3 linked regions of the Caenorhabditis elegans genome follow. The protein of the gene in region 2 purifies or fractionates together with the protein of the main gene of each other region. This does not show direct contact. Each region holds a gene or a part of one and is shown on either strand. Other genes may lie near its edges.

The links.
Region 1: the proteins of T15B7.15 (region 2) and kcnl-3 fractionate together in Caenorhabditis elegans (co-fractionation; one large-scale study listed by BioGRID). This does not show direct contact.
Region 3: the proteins of T15B7.15 (region 2) and acy-1 fractionate together in Caenorhabditis elegans (co-fractionation; one large-scale study listed by BioGRID). This does not show direct contact.

The regions. Positions count from the first base shown.
Region 1 is NC_003284.9:5,384,387-5,390,668, forward strand, and holds the start of kcnl-3 (Small conductance calcium-activated potassium channel-like protein 3), read left to right. Parts: upstream 1-2,471; coding exon 2,472-2,610; intron 2,611-3,473; coding exon 3,474-3,550; intron 3,551-4,014; coding exon 4,015-4,167; intron 4,168-5,000; coding exon 5,001-5,139; intron 5,140-5,436; coding exon 5,437-5,565; intron 5,566-5,921; exon of another isoform or gene 5,922-5,977; intron 5,978-6,282. UniProt on the Caenorhabditis elegans protein: Forms a voltage-independent potassium channel activated by intracellular calcium.
Region 2 is NC_003283.11:6,834,693-6,840,497, reverse strand, and holds T15B7.15 (GRIP domain-containing protein), read left to right. Parts: upstream 1-1,832; 5' UTR 1,833-1,953; coding exon 1,954-2,019; intron 2,020-2,077; coding exon 2,078-2,200; intron 2,201-2,247; coding exon 2,248-2,389; intron 2,390-2,445; coding exon 2,446-2,599; intron 2,600-2,993; coding exon 2,994-3,264; intron 3,265-3,307; coding exon 3,308-3,415; intron 3,416-3,464; coding exon 3,465-3,617; intron 3,618-3,662; coding exon 3,663-3,773; 3' UTR 3,774-3,803; downstream 3,804-5,805. Other genes in the region: lgc-54 (Ligand-Gated ion Channel), read left to right, coding at 31-212; Very-long-chain (3R)-3-hydroxyacyl-CoA dehydratase hpo-8, read right to left, coding at 335-590, 643-767, 819-926, 976-1,093, 1,153-1,202; col-143 (Nematode cuticle collagen N-terminal domain-containing protein), read right to left, coding at 3,835-3,998, 4,049-4,844; T15B7.14 (Chloride channel CLIC-like protein 1), read left to right, coding at 5,156-5,170, 5,226-5,405, 5,452-5,523, 5,570-5,677, 5,741-5,805.
Region 3 is NC_003281.10:4,719,539-4,725,716, forward strand, and holds the start of acy-1 (adenylate cyclase), read left to right. Parts: upstream 1-2,556; 5' UTR 2,557-2,673; coding exon 2,674-2,958; intron 2,959-5,158; coding exon 5,159-5,232; intron 5,233-5,341; coding exon 5,342-5,465; intron 5,466-5,920; coding exon 5,921-6,178. Other genes in the region: emb-5 (Suppressor of Ty 6 homolog), read right to left, coding at 1-231, 282-623, 697-949, 997-1,127.

The sequences.
Region 1 (6,282 bases), on a different chromosome or scaffold from region 2:
CTTATATTTTTTCTACTATGTTAACTTTTTTTGGATTTATAATATAATTGTTAAAGTTTCAGAAATTTCGGAACATTTTGTTGAAAAAGAAAAAAAGGAAAAATATAATTTTTTAAGAGTTTTTACATCAGATAAACTGACTGAAACCTTATCCAAAAAAAATTATTTTATTTTAAACGTTTTGCTCATTTTTACAAGCCTAAAATTATTTTAACACTAGATTTCTATTCTTGTACATGAGGTACAGCATACTAATTTTGTGATGTTGTGTTTTATTTCAGTCAAACATACTGGGTTAAATTCTTTGCCTTCCTAGTACCCCCTTAAAAACAAATTCAAATTTGTTACCCAGTATTCCAAATTTTATTTTAATTCCAGAAACTATGTTTTTCTTTTATGAATGCTTTGAATCCCTTGTTTTATTTTTCTTGGATCTAAGTCCGGAAGGGGTATATTATCAACAAGCCTGTAATTTTCAAATCCTTAAGTTTCCACGTCCGTTTTATTTTTTCAGATTGTTTGATTTTTTTTTTCACCAATTGATGTCTTTTTCCCATCTCTTTCTTTTTTTGAATGAACACACCGATTTTCGATTTTTATTCTGCTCACTTGTGCTATTTTAGTAGCAACTACTTTTTACTCTTTTTTGCCTCTTTGGAACGCTTTGAAATAAAAAAAATACGTTTGGTTTTAGATTTTTTAGATTTTGTGATTCATTCATTCAGAGTAAAAGTTTCTCGCTTCTTTCCAAAGGGTACCTCAATTTTTTTCCAAGTCGGAGATGACGCTATTCGGGAACAAAAACGTTTTCAGGTGTGTGTCCAAGTCAAGTTTCAAATTACTTTTAGGGAATACTCAAAACTTATTCATTCGATTTTACTTAGTTCAACAAGTTCACCTATCGGATTACTAAACTTTTTATGTAATTTTTCGATAATTTTTTTGAAACATGCCTCTAGTTAAAATCTCTTTAGAAAAATAAAAATTGAACAGTTGTTTGAATCTCCTTCTATGGTGAAAAATATCATAGTAAAACACTTCAAAAAACTGTGAAAATATTTTCAAAGTATTGAAAATTGGCAAAAAAATAGATTTTTTAAAGAATTTGTTACTGAAAATTTGCGAAAACGCCAAAAAAAAAGAAAATTTCAAAAATTCAATAGTTTTCGGAGCGTTTTATTATTTTCTAAAGGGTTTTTTCTAAATATTGATTCAAATTCAAAAAATGTCTCCTGACATTTATTGATAATAATATCTTTTTTTTTAAATGAAGGTAATATAAGGAGAGGCAAATATAGGCATTGGGACTAGAAAGACTCTCATTTACAATCACCCCCTACACAGGGAGATAAGGACAACAGAGCAACCGGAAAGAATGTAGTAGATTACACTATCCAGGCAGACGCCGCATAGATCAAACTATATATAAGACATCTTATGTACAGGACAACACAACACATTTATTTGAATATGTTCTGACAAAAAACAATTTCAAGTTTCCAAATTCCTAAAAACCGCAAATAATTTGCCGCGAATTTATATACTCAGAATTGTACGTTGTCTCACATGCATTCCGATGAACATGCCTTTGTGATAACGTAGGTTTTGCTTGAATGCCAGTGCACATTGTTGTCATAATGACCTTGTTCTAATTAATCAGAGATCTTAAAAAAGTGCACATATCACAAGCCCCATGAATCACATATAGCTTACTGATACCATTTTTTTTGTCTTCGCACTTTAAATATACATTTTTTGTTTGTTTGTTTTTTTTTCTTATTGATGGAAATTGTTCCAACTTGTTTCAAGTATATCAATATGTTCCTTGAAATCATCCCGTCGACTTTTACTTTTTTTCCAGACGCTGATCGGGATAGAACAACACAAAGGACACGGCTCTCACAGCATAGACTTATCAACTATGCAAATGGAGGTAATCGTAATTTGATCACTTCTCTCCTTTCTTTTTCCATACTCTATTCTCATTTCTTGTGCATTCCGATGAAATCTCAATCTCACACGAGCGGCGCCGCCACTCCTCTTTAGTTTATACTCGATTCAGATGAGACTTTTGTCGTCGTCGTCGTCCACCAAATTTTTTCCCTTCTTATTTTCATTTTATTTTATTTTATTTGTCTCGTGGTCCCCTGGCTCGAAGCCAGCCTAATTCTTATACACTTGCTAAATGTGCATTGCTGTTTGAGCTTTGTTCTTTATATTCCTCTCATTCTCCTCCTCTTACATGTTACCACCACCAGCTGTATCAGAAAATGAGTGGAAAAATAAGGAGAAAAACACTGAACCAGTAGTCAGCCCACTCTTGGCTTCATATAAACAGCAGCACACCTTTTTCCAATTCCTTTCAACTCCTTTGCCAACCACACATTCTCTCTCTCACCACCACTAAATCTGATGTTTTTCAGCCGGATCTCTCGTTCTCTGATGTTATCACAGGTAGTACTGATATAGTCATGGAACGGCCCAACTCACGACTGCACTGTCATCCGGAAACACATACCTACAAATGCACAGTGCAACCATATTTTCCCCTACATACACATGCAACTACGGTTTATGGCAATGTAACAAAACATCGGCCGAGTCTGGGAAGTGAGTGTTTTATGAGAAAAGTTTATAAAGTTTTGACAATTTGTTTGCAACGAATCCATGGTTTTGATACCTAATTTTAGTATTTGAGTACTATAGACAGGTAGATCAGTAAACATTCCTAACAAATTGAAAAACGATTGGATACATTTTTAAATAGAACAAAAAAAAAGTTACGACGGTTCAATGTATTATAACAAATTTATTTTTAGATAAAATATAATTGTTTTCGTTTAATGTTTATGCTCTTTTGCATAGGAAATCAACTATCAAAACGTAAATTTAATGTTTTAATAATTTTTTGAATATGCTAAATGCCCAATTAGGCTATTTCTATTAATTTGTGAGTTTTATAACGTAATCCACATCAACCCAGCGGAATAAAAAATTTCCATTAAAATCTAAAAAATTAATTTCGAACATTTTCATAAGTTTGAAAATAATTTCACATCAACTAAGTTTTTATTTTGTCTATTTGGTTTTTTTATAAGTTTTTCTAAATTTGAAAATACCACAATTTTCTATTTCATCAACTTTTTTGTAACTCTCCAAAAATAATTTCGTACTAAAATAGAATTTATAACCAAAATTTCACAGATGCCAGATCGATCTAATATAATTTCCAAAAGTCTAAAAAATGAAGTAATAATCTTTGATTATTGAATTTTTTCCCCGCGTTTTTTCCCGTTGAATAAATCATATTAGTCAACGTTGTCTTTTGCTCATTCTGTTGTTAATCATTTTTACACAGAAATTAACTTTTACGCAGAATGGTGAATTATTCTGATTATTTTGCAGTGCTTTAGAATTAATATATCAATGTCTCTTTTCAAGGTTTCTTTAATTAAATTATTCGTCATTTTCAGCATTGCAAGCAGGTGATACTCTTCATGCAAGGCGATTTCTCAGCGATAAGCGACGGAGTTACCGGAATCGAAGTCTTGTGAGAACGTTTTCTTTTTGTATTAAAATGTGGTTTTTAATAATGTAAGAACCCGAGTGCAAACTACTCGAATTTGAATTCAAATTTTCTCTTTCTGACACCCAAAAATAGGTTACTTACTGCCATTTTGTTTTTGCATGTGACCGACAAAATGGACTACAAACGTTTTTTCATGATGTCAAAACAAAACGCAGCGAAAATAGAAATGCAATTTGAGAAAAATGGGCGTGGCAATAAAAATATAGACTTCTGATGTATGAGCCAATTTTGAGGATAAATAGTTTAGGCTACCCGAGTCTCATAACAACCGAATCAAAAAATTATTCACCTGGATAAAAAAATTTTATCAGTAAATCTATACATATTATAAGCTATATAATGCATCGCCACTCGGTTGTTAGCTCTCCGGTAAAACACGAAATCTTACTTAGAAGTATATTTATTTATTCTATTCTCTTATTTAGGGTCCAACAATTGCATCTGCTCCGTCTGTGGAGCAAGAAGACTACCGAACACCCAGGCCTTCATTTGATAGCAACGGTTATGTCGGAAAGAGTTTTGACTTTAGCAGTGCACAACATGGGCTTACTGCAAGTGAATCAAATGCTCTCGTGAAGGTACACTTTTTTTTGGTTGTTCGATTTGGTTGTTGAAACATGATAGTCTGAGTTATAAAGTTTTCAATTTCCGGTTAGATAATTGAGAATGAAAATAAAAATGGATAGTGCACTTTATGAACATTTGAGTTTGTTTCATTTTTTTGGTTGAGTATCAAAGTATTGCGGTGGGGAAAATCTTTGAAACCTCTCCTAATTCAAACATCATATGTAGTGCAAATTTTCAAAAGATTTTTATTTTTTGTTCACTATCAGAAACGTTTTGGGAATCGAGCAAAACAAGTTGTATGTATTTTCAAAAATGTTTATATTTGTGTTAAGTTTGAATACTGTAAGACTTGAAAAATTTTGCATTTTGCGTGAACATTAATGGGGGAGTATCATCGATGGGGGCTTAGTCTAAACACATTTATAATAGTCTAACATGGCAAAGTATCATAATTTAACACTCCAAAAAGTTTTGGATTATCCGATAATTTCAGTCGTAGTTTTAGTAAGTTGTCAATTTTTCTGAACTTTGGATTTTGGATGACCTAGAATCTCAAAATACAAACTATTGAAATGCAATTCATATGTGTATAAATTCTAGAAAACTTTTTTTTAGAGGTGAAATAAGAAATTTCCATTGACGATACTTCATCTCTAGCTGGAAATTGTGAGACATCCAGAACCTCAGTGTTTTATTTAGTCCCGTTTCAAGTATATTTTAAAAAAACTGGTGCTATGATTTTTTGATTTTTCAAAATTGAATGTCATTCATAGTAACCAATTATAGTGAGTACGATCATGAATCAATCGGAGATTACTGAGCAAATTCATATCTCGTTTTGCAGGTGTCAGCTGACTTTCTTAGGTTAAACGGAAGCCGTCAACAGTTCAAAAACCTTCTATCAGCTCGAAAAAAGCTGGGATCCCTTCCGCCTGCTTACACAAGAATTGACTATAGCAGGGAGTCGTTGGACTCGCATTCTGGTGAGTGATGGGGTTGGGGACGAAAAAAGGGGGCATTGTACTTACGAGTCGCTAGTACGGTAGCAACAAAATCCTAATACAGCTACAATCATAAGGAGGTATAAAATACGTTTGACTATACACTTCAAAACACTCATTTCTTCAAATGCTCCTTATTCTGTAGTAATGTTAGTTCATCAAAGTTCGTTTGACGATGATAATGATCTAGACTGCTGTAAGTTAAATTTACGTATGACAATAAAGCGCAATTGATGTATACGTAGTTCAACCGCGTAAAATGTGTAATTTTATTTTCAGCGCGAGGGATTCCTAATCACCATGGGCCGGTGATAACAGTGGAGGATACAGGATCTCAACTTAGGATTAACAATATCAAGCCCAGTGTGAATCAACACCTCCTCGAATCGTCATGTTCGTTTGAAAAAAGTGAGTGAAAAAACTTAGTTTTGAAAAATATGAATTCAACTTTGAAAGTGATAAAGTGGAACGTTCTTGTTTGTGAGTATTTTGTGAGAATACACCACCTGACGCCTCCCCTGACGCCTCCTTAAGACCTGCCGCACCTATGCCTATTTTCTGCAATTTGTCTAGGCGTTTGTAAAACGTTGAGTATATGTTTCGCAGCGTCCGATATACGCGTCTACTACTCAAATTCCACTAGCAAGAACACTGGTCCCCCGTTCCTTTTCTATGTAAACCTGAGAAAGGACATGTACGCCCACACAACCAATTGGATTGTGATACAAGGTTCTTAAATGGCTTTAGTAAATTTATTCTTTCCGAATTCACGTACGCCTTTTGTAACCCCCAATGAGCACCATGTGTCTGCAAATGAGATGGGAGTCTTAAAGGAATCTCGTTCAATGTTACTATTTTGAAATTCTAGTTTGATGGTCCTTCACACAGTTACTAAAATTTTACGGAAATTTTGGAAAATTCTGAAAAACTATTTACTGGTGTCAACTGCGCATCATGATACAGCAGGTGACAATATTCATTGTTAACATATTTTATAATAAAGGAAGCAATAATACTTGTTTGTTTTGAAATGACCCTTGGGCATTGTGTTATATTAATTTGCACATTTATGTGAACCGGTTTTCCGTATTTTCCAATTTTTCCTGGAAACACTATTAGTACAGA
Region 2 (5,805 bases):
TCGTTTATTCTCTAAATATTACTTTTCCAGGACTCCTCACGGATGACGATGACGAAAATACCAAATGGACTGCACAAAATGTCGACAAATTCTGCAGAAAAGCATTTCCATTGTCGTTTTGTTTTCTGAATCTCATATATTGGTGTTATTATTTATACCAGAATTATTTGGCAAAGGCCGAAGCTCTTGCTCAAATGACGCCACCATCCTGATTTTCGGGTGACTGTTTTTTTAGAAGACATTACGGGAGAATAATTTATGAATAAAGTTGAATTTTGATTGGTTGCAATTAATCTAGAATACACTGTAATATAAATACACGTAGAATTTTTCTTTACTGCTTCTTCTTGCTTCCTCCGCCGAGAATCTTCTTTCTTTGACCGATCATGTAGAAGTAAAGTTGTGGGAATCCGGGAATGTAGCTGAGAGCAGCAATGATGAGCACCCACCAGAAGGAGATTCCCATGTTGAGACGGTTTGGCATCTCGAGGGTAAGGATTTTCTTCTCATCAACTTCATTTAATGAAGCGAACAACGTCAGAAGCTCTCCGGAGACTCCCATTGGGTAGAGAACGTAGAAGAGGGTGTATCTGTAATTAAAATAGTTGAGTTATAGCATTGATCCCCAGAATCTCAAAATACCTGAGGTAGAGAAGGAAATATGGGATTGGTTGTTTCAATACGCTGAGTGCATAGAACGAGTACCGGATGACCTCTGTTACGGACCAGGCAACAAGAAGAAGTGGAACTCCGATACTGAAGCGAGCCTAAAAATTGGTTTAATTTATTCAAGTTTAAGATAAAAAATTCCAACTCACTGTTGAGCACAAGTGGAGGATTGGCCAGACAAGGACGACGCGAGATGTTACTTGCATTGCGGTAGTTCCAACTGGTGAACGAACAAGTCCGACAATTGCGTGAATGACCTGAATATGATAATTTCTTTAAAAGTTTTTCAATTTCAACAAAGCTAACCTCGAGAATAGCTGCGGTTTGGAAGATTTTAAGCTCAAATTCCACCGATTCGTAAAGTTGTGGCCATGTCAAGCCATTAGCGAGTCCAAGAACTGTTTTCACAAGAATTGCAGACCATCTGAAATTAATTTAAATTATTAAAATTATAGTGAACTTCTTTCAGAAAAAAAAACGTACCCTAAAATTTGTAACACGTTGTACGCAACCAGATACGTCTGAACGCTCATTGTTACCCTGCAAAAATAAGGATTTTAGGCAATGCAAAGAAAAGAAAATGAGAAAAGTATATCACGCCACACGAAAAAAAAGATGAAAGGGTAGAATGGAGTGATGTACAACAGAAACGTTATCAGTCAACTTGCGGGGAGTTTGAAGAAACATTTAGCGAAAACATAAAATGGGACATTTTATGTAATGTAAAACATTGGTAAAATTCGAAAGTTTAATTGAAAATATATAAATCTTCATACGATATCTTGGTTGATACAGGAAAAATGTAAATTTCTTAGTTTTTCAGAAAAATTATGAGAGCGAGGTTATTTATTTTTAATAAAAATTGAAGACTTCAGTTTTTTAATTGGAAATTAATCAAAAAATCTAGAAATAAATCACTTAAATTAAGAAAATGAAAGAAAATAATTTTTAAAATTTTAATTCTTAAGAAACATTTTTCTTGACTACAACACTCCGAAATAACCCTTCGCGCTTTGTTTATCGTAAATCTACATCAGGGCGTTTTTGGGGACAGTTTAAAAAATAATTTTTTGTGGAACAGGAACAGGAACTTGAAGCAGTTTTTTTTGTTCTTGTATTAAAATATTAAATGTAATTTTGAAACTAAAGAAGACTTATTTATATTTAAGCAAACGCAGGAAATTAGTTGTTGCACCATGGACGGAAATTGAAATTTTATGGCTGACTGATCTGAACTCTAGACATTCTGAGTTCTTTTACGTATTACTTTAGTTACTCACAACTATGATTTCTAAACAACGCCAGGATTCTGATGAAAAACCTCTCGAGGAACAGTTAGAGTTACTGCAGGTGGTTTTAATTTTTGAAAATATTATCAAAATTACTTTAAATTTTATGCTTCATTCAGGAAAAAATCGCAGAAATGATAGTAACAAATGAGGCGACCGAGAATCAGTTGACAAATTTAACATTCGAGTCGAACGATGTGATTATTTATCTGAAAAAATTGGTTGAAGAGAAAGACGAAGAGGTAAGAGAGGAATTAGAGAAAAAGGCAAAGAACGAGCATTGTTTCAGACTGCTCGTTTGGAAGAAATGTTGGAAGAACAGAGAAAAGAATCAGATAGAATGTTTAAAATTCATAGAGATAATTCTGAATTAGAAGAGAAGAAATTGAAAGAGCAAATTGAAAAGTTAAAGAGTGAAATGAGCATTATGGGTAGGCCGAAAAGAGAATAGTGAAAGTAGAATTAAAAACTTTTTCAAAATTTTTAGATACACAACTGGGAAACCAGCATCGTATCGAGCTAGAAATCATTGAGATGGGTGCAAAACTGAATTCTCTACAAGGTGTCGTTGATGAACAGGAAGAGACAATTCGAAGAAAAGAAGCAGAAGAAAGAAGCGTCAAAATTGCAGCTATTGAGCAGTAGGTTTCAAAAAATTGTATAAATTGAGGGGTTACGATGGTAGATGGGCTCGCCTTCGTGCCTATTTGTCTGCGTCTGCCTAGAGCCTACACGCCTGAACGGCTCCCTAAAATTTTGCAACAAAAATTATTAGTCAAAAATATATATTTCAGTTCCTAAAACCTACTAAACCAACACAAGTATCGTTTTTTGTGTTCCAAAAAATTGTCTTTAATATCAGGAGTTACCGAGTTTGCCAAGCTATGGAAATTGCATTTTCTGAAAAAAAAATATGCAGACTCATTTAGCATCTGGTTGTTTAAAAGAAATACTTGGTCCTTTTCGACCACTAAAGTCTCGTACTTTTATATTGTCACGTCGCAAATCATCTAGAGAATTAAATGAAAATTCCAGAGCTCGTGCAGATTTGAGCGCCGAGTTCGAGCAAGCTGTTGCTGAGATCCGTATTGAAGCAAGTCTGGAGAGCAAAGGTCACACTCTGATGAATAATCAAGTAATTGAACATTTGGAATTAGAACTTACCAGAAAGAAGCAAGATATGTTACGAATGGAGCAAATGCTCGAGGAGAAACAATCCGAATTGACGCAAGAAATAGGAAAAACTCAGGAACGTGAAGAAGAGAATTTAAAATTACGGAGTCTTTTGGAAAAGAGTGGCCAGACTGTGAGTTATTTCCTTCCTAACTTTTTTATTTAGTCTTTTCCAGACTGAAAAGGCATTGAAAGATAGTAAGAGACGACTGGAAGAATCGGAGAATAAACGAAAAACTACTCTCGAGAAATATATTCAAATTGAGAATGAATTGAATAGTAAAGTAAGTGTTGAAACTTTTGAAATAAATATAGCAAAATAATAACTTATAGCTAGACGAAGCTCTTCAAAACTCAGACAAGTGCCAAAAAATGACGTCACTTCTTGAAGATCAGCTTCTGAGAGAACAACAGACAAGGAAAGCGACAATTGATTCTCACAAGGCTCAAAATAAGAAAATTGAAGAACTCAAAGTATTCTTTAAGGTAATTCAAAACAACTTATTCCATTATTTTTTCTCTTTATTTCAGGATGTTCTATCCAGTGAAGAAGGTCTTCTAGACGAAGTTATAAAAGAGAATCGAAATGCTGTGTTTGCTCATCTTGCTTTGATTATATCTAGAATTCCAATTGTTCGCTAATGTACATATATGAAATTATCAAAAATTGTATGCTGAATATTTATTAAACAATGACTGTTGCTTAGACGGCCTGTGCGTGAACGCGAGCTCTGCGTTGAACGGCAACACGGCGGCGAGCTGCGATACGGTGACGGACAACAACACGGTTGCGGGCAACATTTCGATTGACAGCGACGCGGCGGTTGACGGCCATGACAGAAGAACGGGCTGGGCATGGGCAGTAGGCTGGAATACACGATTATAAATATAACATAATTAACTTTCGAGAAACTCACCAGCATCTCCTCCTGGGGCTCCTGGGTTTCCTGGGGTTCCTGGAACTCCGTCGTTTCCAGAATGTCCTGGTTGTCCGGATGGTCCTGGTGGTCCTTGAGGTCCTGGAGTTCCAGCTCCTCCAGAACGTCCTGGCTGTCCTGGGGCTCCAGCTGGTCCCTGTGGTCCTGGTCTTCCGGATGCTCCTGGAGTTCCACGGCTGCGTTGTCCTCCACGACCTGGATTTCCTGGAGATCCTGGATGTCCTGGCTGTCCTGGTGATCCGGCATCTCCGGCTGGTCCGCGTGGTCCTGGTGGTCCACGTCCACCTGATTGAGCTGGGGCTCCTGGTTGTCCGTTGTTTCCCTTTGGTCCTGGGGCTCCTGGTGGTCCAGCTGGTCCTGGTGCTCCTGCTGGGCAAGTGATACAGAATCCTGGTCTTCCCGTAGCTGGGTTAATTCTTGCTCCAGATCCTGGTTGTCCAGCAATTCCTGGAAGTCCTGCCTCTCCGCGAGCTCCTGGTTGTCCTGGTGGTCCTGGTGGTCCAGCTGGGCATCCACGGGATTGTTCTCCACAGTTGCATTCAGCCTGTCTCTTGTTACGTCCGAGAAGGAATGATGACCCGGATGATGGGCGAGTGGTTGGGATCATTGCTTGCCAAGCGATTTGCTCGTATCCCTTGAACTCCTTGAGCTCCCCGATCTTCTCATCGTAGAATGAGTTGATGTCATTGAAGATCATTCCAACTGTGAAAACACAGACAACAATAGCAATACCAGAGGCGGCCGAAGCCACAGTCACAAGAGTACTGGCGCTCATCTCTGCAGATGAGAGTGAAGTTGTATGTAACGGAACCTACCTTATATACAATTCTACCGGTTACTAGGTAACAGAGGATATAGCATAGAGAATCGAGAGGGTCATCTTGGTTTATCAATCCCTGACTTGTGTCCTATTATTTCAAAACCAGTTTCAACGAGGAAGAAATGTGAAGAAGATGCAAAATGGGCAACGCCTCCAGAAAAAAGTAAACGACGTGAACTTAACGGATAGCATCGCGTTGGAATTTAGAAACGTTGGAAACGCGTAGGAAATTGCTAGAAAAATGTTATTGTATGAAAATTCTAATTATGTGGAAAACTGTTGTGAGTTTTTAAAATAAAGTCTTAAGAAGTTTAGATTGAAAATTGATATTTTCAGACAATAATTATAGCATTATGCATACAAAAAATATATTCAAATGTAATTCCCGAGATGGCATGTTATCGACTTGACCATCAGCCACCAGACTTAACATCAGAAATTCAAACTTCTATCACCCCAAAAACATTTTTAAATATGGTTGAAGAGTTCACAAAAATGGAGGATATTGTTCTGCTGGTAAGCTGCAAACTTATAAATTTTCCTAATTTTTCATACTTTTCAGAAAGCAGGAGAAAAAATAATTACCAATCAGAGTCTTACCACTTTCGAATACTCCAAATTGGGAATCTTTCGAGTATAATTTTTGGTTTTGTTTTCAAAGACCTGTGTTTTTTTTTCAGAAATCAACACTATTCTACATAGCAGTTGCAGTATGTTACCTCTACTGGTTAATCTACACATTTTGCACTTTCAAGTTTTCCCGCTCTCAATTTGATTTGTTAATAGCGGTATAATTTCAAATATGAAGCATATTAGCGCCACACAGGCCACATTTGACAAAAAATTTTCAGCCATATCGAGGATTCTATCTGAAAAGTGTGTTGATGCTATTTTACTTTCTCTTTATTGCGCTCAC
Region 3 (6,178 bases), on a different chromosome or scaffold from region 2:
ATTTGTCACTGTCCCTTCTTCGAAGGCATATTTAATAATCCATAGAGCTTCAGATTCCAGTTCATCATCATCCGCTTCTGTAACTGGTGTTCTTCTGAGTTGGAACCTCTCTGGTAAATCTTCTTTCGCGATTTTCTTATCCCCAGGTAACAAGAATCCACGATCAATTTCACTTGGTTCGATGGATTCGAGAAGTGTTGACTTCTTTGTAGTATCCTTCTTTCTGCGTATCTGAACCATTCCTATTTCAATAATGCAAAGCTTTTCTCAAAAATTCCAACCTTTATCTCTCCTCCTTCACCATCATCTTCTATTATTTCCTCCTCTTCGTCTTCTAGACCATCCTCGCCATCATCATCGTCGTAAAACTCGTCCAAATTGAAGTCTTCCACTCCGAATACATCACGGGCGTCATCTTCAGCGCCTTCTGGGAGATTTTCGTCTCCACGATGACGTTTCCGATGTCTTCGTGGCGCATCTCCATCGTCCTCAATAAAGTCATCCTCACTTCTTTCAGACTCTGATCCGTAACCACCGCGATCTCCACGACCACGATCTTTTCGCCTGTCTCCATCGTCACTTCCTCGTTCGGAAAGCAAATCATCATCTTCGTGGTTGGGTCTCTGAAATTCCGAATTTGATTATTATTATTATTATGAATTTTAGTGGCAATTGAAAAAAATCGAAATTACTCACTCGTATCGGCTCATCTTCATCACTGGAATCACCCAATTGAACTCGATTTTGTTTTTTCGTCTCTCGAATATCATAATTCTCATTGATCAAATCAAGATCTTCATCGTCGAGCTCATCTTCTCCCGAGTGCCGAGATTTTTCTGACTTCTCCGATTTTGCGTCCTCTTCTTCATCGTCATCATCTGCAATGAATCCCTGCATTTCTTTACGGTTTTCCTCTTCATCGTCATCGTCGTCTTCATCTTCGTCAGAACTAAAAATGAACAAATGAAAATAGAAATACCCCGGAATTATAATTACCTGGCAACCATTTTCTTCTTTCTTTTTGATTTTTCCTTTGCCATTTTCATCTTTTTCGACTGTGGTTCTTCATCATCAGAATGGCCCGAGGAGGCATCTGATTCTTCGGCTTGATTATCGATAAAATCCATTACCTGCAACAAATTCAGTTAATTTCACTTGGGAAGAACGAAATTTCATAATACAAAAATTTCGAAAAGCACAAAGAGCAAAATTAAGAAAATTGCAAACAGCTCACAGTGCGGAAAAGGTTTAAAAGTGAAAGAAAACTGAAAAATCTTATTTTGTGCAAAAAAAATTAGCCAGATAGGTGAAAAATGACGGATTTTACGCGGTTTTTAGGCCAAACGAGCGAAAATTAATCAATAAAGAAAACGGAGAAAGAAGGAAACCGGCCATTCGGGTCGAGGACAAAAATAAAAATGAGACGATTTTCTGAATTTGAACGCGAAGCGATTTATGCAACTGCGCCCCATTGTGATGCTAGGCGAGAGAGTGTGGGATTGCAAGAGGCGGGTAGAGATAGAAAAACGCGGTCGTTTAAAAAATATCGCTTTCCCGAGTTTCGCGTATTTTAGGAATTATATGTTTCATTTTAAAGCGATATTGCGAAAAGTGATTTCGATTCATCTTTATTGCGTGATAGGTAAACAAATTGGTTCATTTAGCAAGCATCCAAGACGACGAAATACGATAACCGGGGTATTCAGAATTGTTGCGAAAAATGTAATAGCTATATAGCTATGTGAAATTATTTAGGCATAAAAGATTAATTTTCATTCAACTACCATGTTCAATTTTGAAGGTTTATTCTTCACAGACTCATTCTTTCATCAACAAAAATCTTACCACGAAGAAAAACTTTATCAAATACCGTACCAGCGAGTATGATAGAAGCTTTTTAAAAGTTTTTTTTCCTTATTTCCCGATTTCAAATATATACGTAGATTTTTTCGAGGAAAAATCAATTCATAAGTTCTGTAATTTCAGGAGAAATTTGGCGAGAAAGATTGAGGTACTACAGTACTCCCGAGTACGGTAGTTGAAAAAGTTTCGCTTGAATCAGTGTTTCAATTCTAGATATACGCCCTACCAGATGCCTAGGGGGTAAGTGCCTACAGTGAAGGTTCACTTAAACTGCATTACTTTGATAACCTGAACCTGCTGATCATCATATCCGAAAAACCCCCAAGATATTCACTTGCTGACCATTTTTCATTAGTTGAAGTCCTAATTTCCATCGCTAATTATTCATTCATTTGCTGTTTCCGACATACTTATCAAATCCCATGGGATCCCCCGAATCCATGAGCACAATAATCGAAAGATTGAGGCTCAATGTCTATTCTCCATCCTCTCTCTCTCTCTTCCACACTCTTGGACCCGCCCCACCCTGGGGCCAGTCGAGCGCGCAGCTTTTCGTTTCAAACTCTGCGCCTCTCTCATTCCAAAGCTCTCTGCGCACTTTCTTTTACTCTCTTTTTCTCTGAAAAGGCTTTCAAAAGTAAGTGAGAGATTGGAAGAGAGTGAACGAGAGAAAAAGAGTAAGCAGTTGGGGGGAGTAGGAGGCGAAGGAGGGGGAACAACTACTACTCGCTCTCCTCTACTTGCCTCATCTTCTTCCTTTTCATTTTTCAACGTCTTCTATTCTGAAGATTCTTCTTGTCTTCTGGATTCATGGACGACGATGTCGGTGAACGAACACCGGCTCTCGGTGGTTCATGTGGACCATCAGTTCGTGCACACAGTAGTTCCCCAAGACGTGTTCCATTATTTGAGAGAGCATCTGCTAGATGGTGGAATCCTCAATTTCGATCTGCAACACTAGAAGCTCAATATTGGAAGTGTAGTTTCAGTCAGTTAAGAGATCGATTTCGTTCTGGATTAATATATATTGCCGTTGTAATTGCCGCTTGGACACTTTATTTAGCTTTATTCGATAGAACTTTTATTCAGCATTGGGTGAGTTTTTATTTGTTTTTTTTTTGGAAAAAAATCTAGAATTCATTGCTAAAAAAATATCAAAACAAAAAATTCTCGGCCCGGCTTGTGTGAATTATTCAAATCGTGGAGCTCCGTAAAAAATTCAAGGAGGTCATTTGCATTTTCTATGGTTCCTTCCTTCCGATTTTCTCATCTACTGTAACTTTTTTGTATAGGATCTTTGCAAAAGTGGAAATGATGTAAAATTTTCAATTATCGAATTATAATTCTCGACATAAAAAACGAATGTTAAAGTTTCCACAATAAAAAGTTCTGGAAAGTTTGAAAGTTTGAAAGAGGGTTCTAGCTCGGCTATTGGTTAAAGGAAACTCTGCTGATCGGTTGGACACACCCACTTTTTGAGAAAAAAAATCTGGTGTGGTTTGCGAGCTATCTTGGCAATCTCGCGGCTGTATTTTTTAATTAAATTAAAAATGAAAAAAATTCCCATGGTAAAGCTGTCAACTGATATATTTCAAAAAATAAAGTAATGAATTTCCCAAAAAAATTTGGAGCTGAAAAACAGGAAAAATGTGAAAAAAAAAACCGCCCACTACATAAGGACTACACACCCGGACTTTTTAGAAGGCAAATTTTATCGTTATTTTTAGGCTATGATTTATTTCAGACCCAGCAGTTTTAGGCTCAGAGTAAACTGTTAAAAAATTGAAAAAATCAGCCATCAATTTTGGTTTTTCGGTCATCTGACGAAACTTTGGAGAGCTAAATTTTTTGTCTCTCAAATAACACTTTAATAGTTTTTTAGAACTGTGTTTTTCTGCCAAAAACCTCAAATCACAAAGTTCAAGTGTATTACATGTTGTTTTTGACTTTACCTCAATTCATTCTCAACCAAAAATTCAAGAACTTTCTCTGAACACATTTACTTTTCTTTCCCATTTCTCTTCCGTCCGTCCAACTATTTTTTATTATTATTTCTTCATTCGATTTCTTCTCACTCGGACACCCCTCTCTCCATTGTATACCGCGCACGCGGTTTGGGACGACTGGTCGGACAAATAAATATGTATAGATAGTATATATATAGGTATAATGCAAATGGTTTTAAGCAAACATTACGGAAAACTGCGAAAATTTCTCATTTCGGAGAGGTGAGGGGAGATAAGTTTATTTTGATTTGTTTCAGAGCGAATTCCTTTGTTTTAATAACTGTATCAAATAGTTTTTCTTAGACTTAGGCTTAGGCGATGGCGTAGACTTAGGCTTCAGCTTGGACGCCTAAAGCTAGGCTCTCAAGATTGAGTGGGTACGGTAGCCTTTCAAGGTGGCCTTCATCTACTTCATGTCTACATTCGTGCCTACTGCCGAAGTTCTCATACCATCCTGTATTAGCCCGGGCTCTGGGAAATTTGAAAAATCTTCTGAAACTTCGAAAAACAGTCACACCCATCTTTGTGTTTAGGCTCAATCCTTTCCCGTTCTAAAAATAAGTTGGCTTCATCGTTTCCACTTCCTCCTCCTTCTCCTTCTCGCTGTCAATTTTCATGAGCTCAGTGATATAGAGAGAAAAAAGAAAGAAAGGGTGAAATAGGGATAGAGACAACAAAACAGAAAAGCAATTGTTGAAAAAAAAAAAAAAAAAAAAAAAAACAGAAAACCGAAAAAAGTGAGATAAAGTGAGATAGAACGAGAAAGAGAGAAGGGCCCCCTTTGTAAATCTGCAATGTTGTGAGATGCGTGTGCTCCCTCCATTTGCTCGGGCGCCAGGAGAGAACGCTCCATGAGTTGTGAGGAGCACAACGGTGCGGATGTGCCAAAAACCAATTTCACGGGGAAAGGCACGCATAACAATGTGACAGACTCTTATTTTCGGAAGATGATTGAGATGAGACAGAAGTCAATTTAGACGTTGTTCTTGCGCAAAGAAAGTACCGAGAGGTTGAATCAAGAACAAATAATTTTGGCGGCTTGTATCCCAGTTGTCTTAAATTTAATAAAAACTTTGAACTGAAAAAATATTTGCTATACATATGTTTTTCTATAATTTCGTATTTGATCATTTATTAATAACTTCCAAAAGAACCAAGCTATGTGCCCTAGAAGTAAAGTGGCGGACTGAAAAAAATCTCAAAAAAATATCAAATTCTCCTGCAAATTTAAATTCTAAAATATCGATTGGTGTCTGGATCACAAGAATATCCATAACCAAAAATTTCAGATCGTTTCACTATGCCTCTGTGCCATTATTTTCGCGATGTTTGCCTTCACGGCGTGCGCCGCTCAATACCAAAGGTTTGCATTTAATGTCCACTTCTTTTTCTTTATTTCGGGGGCTGTAAACTCGGAAAACTGTCGGAACACGTTCTGTTAGAAAATGATACTGTATGTGTTGAATGTTCAGGTTCTACATGCCAACCTCATTTCTATGCACTTTTTTGATATGCCTTGTCACGTTGCTCATCTTCTCCGCAGAGAATCAAGCTGCGTTTATGACTCCAGTTGCAAGTCTTGCCACAAGTTTTCAGGTAGGAATCTGGGGGGGAATTTTTTTAAAAGTACATCCGACATTCAAGACCCAGTGTGAAAAAAAACAGCTGTATTGGATAGAAATATTTGTTGCAAAAGTTTGCAAAAAAGTAGCAAAAACCAGCCAATAATTTTCGAAAGACTGCCAAAAAAGATTCAAACCTTTTCAGTAGTTTGCATAAGTTTGCCAAAAATTGCAAAAGCTATTTAAAGTTATGCAAATGTTTGCCGGAAAAATTCAAAAGTTTGCCAAATAGTTGCAAATTGTTTTTTAGAAGTTTCCGAAGATTCTCGAGAAATTGCACAGTTTCACAAAAATTGCAAATTATTGAAAGATTTGTTAAAAATGGTGAACGTTTGACAAAAAGGTGCAGACGGTTGTCAACAAGCTGCCACCGAGTTTCCAGAACATAGTACTCTGATATCATTATCACTCAATTCCTTATTATTCCAGGTCGTTCTCCTGATCTACACAGTCATTCCACTGCCACTCTATTTATGTATACTCATCGGAATAATCTACTCAATCCTATTTGAGATTCTCAACAAGAACAAAATTGGTCTTGAAGAGGCCGGATACATTAAGCTTGTCCTTCACGCTGGTGTCCATTTACTCGGTGTCCATTTGTTCATTTTAACTCAAGTGCGACAGAGGAAAACGTTTCTGAAAGTGGGACAATCGATGTTGGCAAGAAAGGATCTAGAGTTGGAG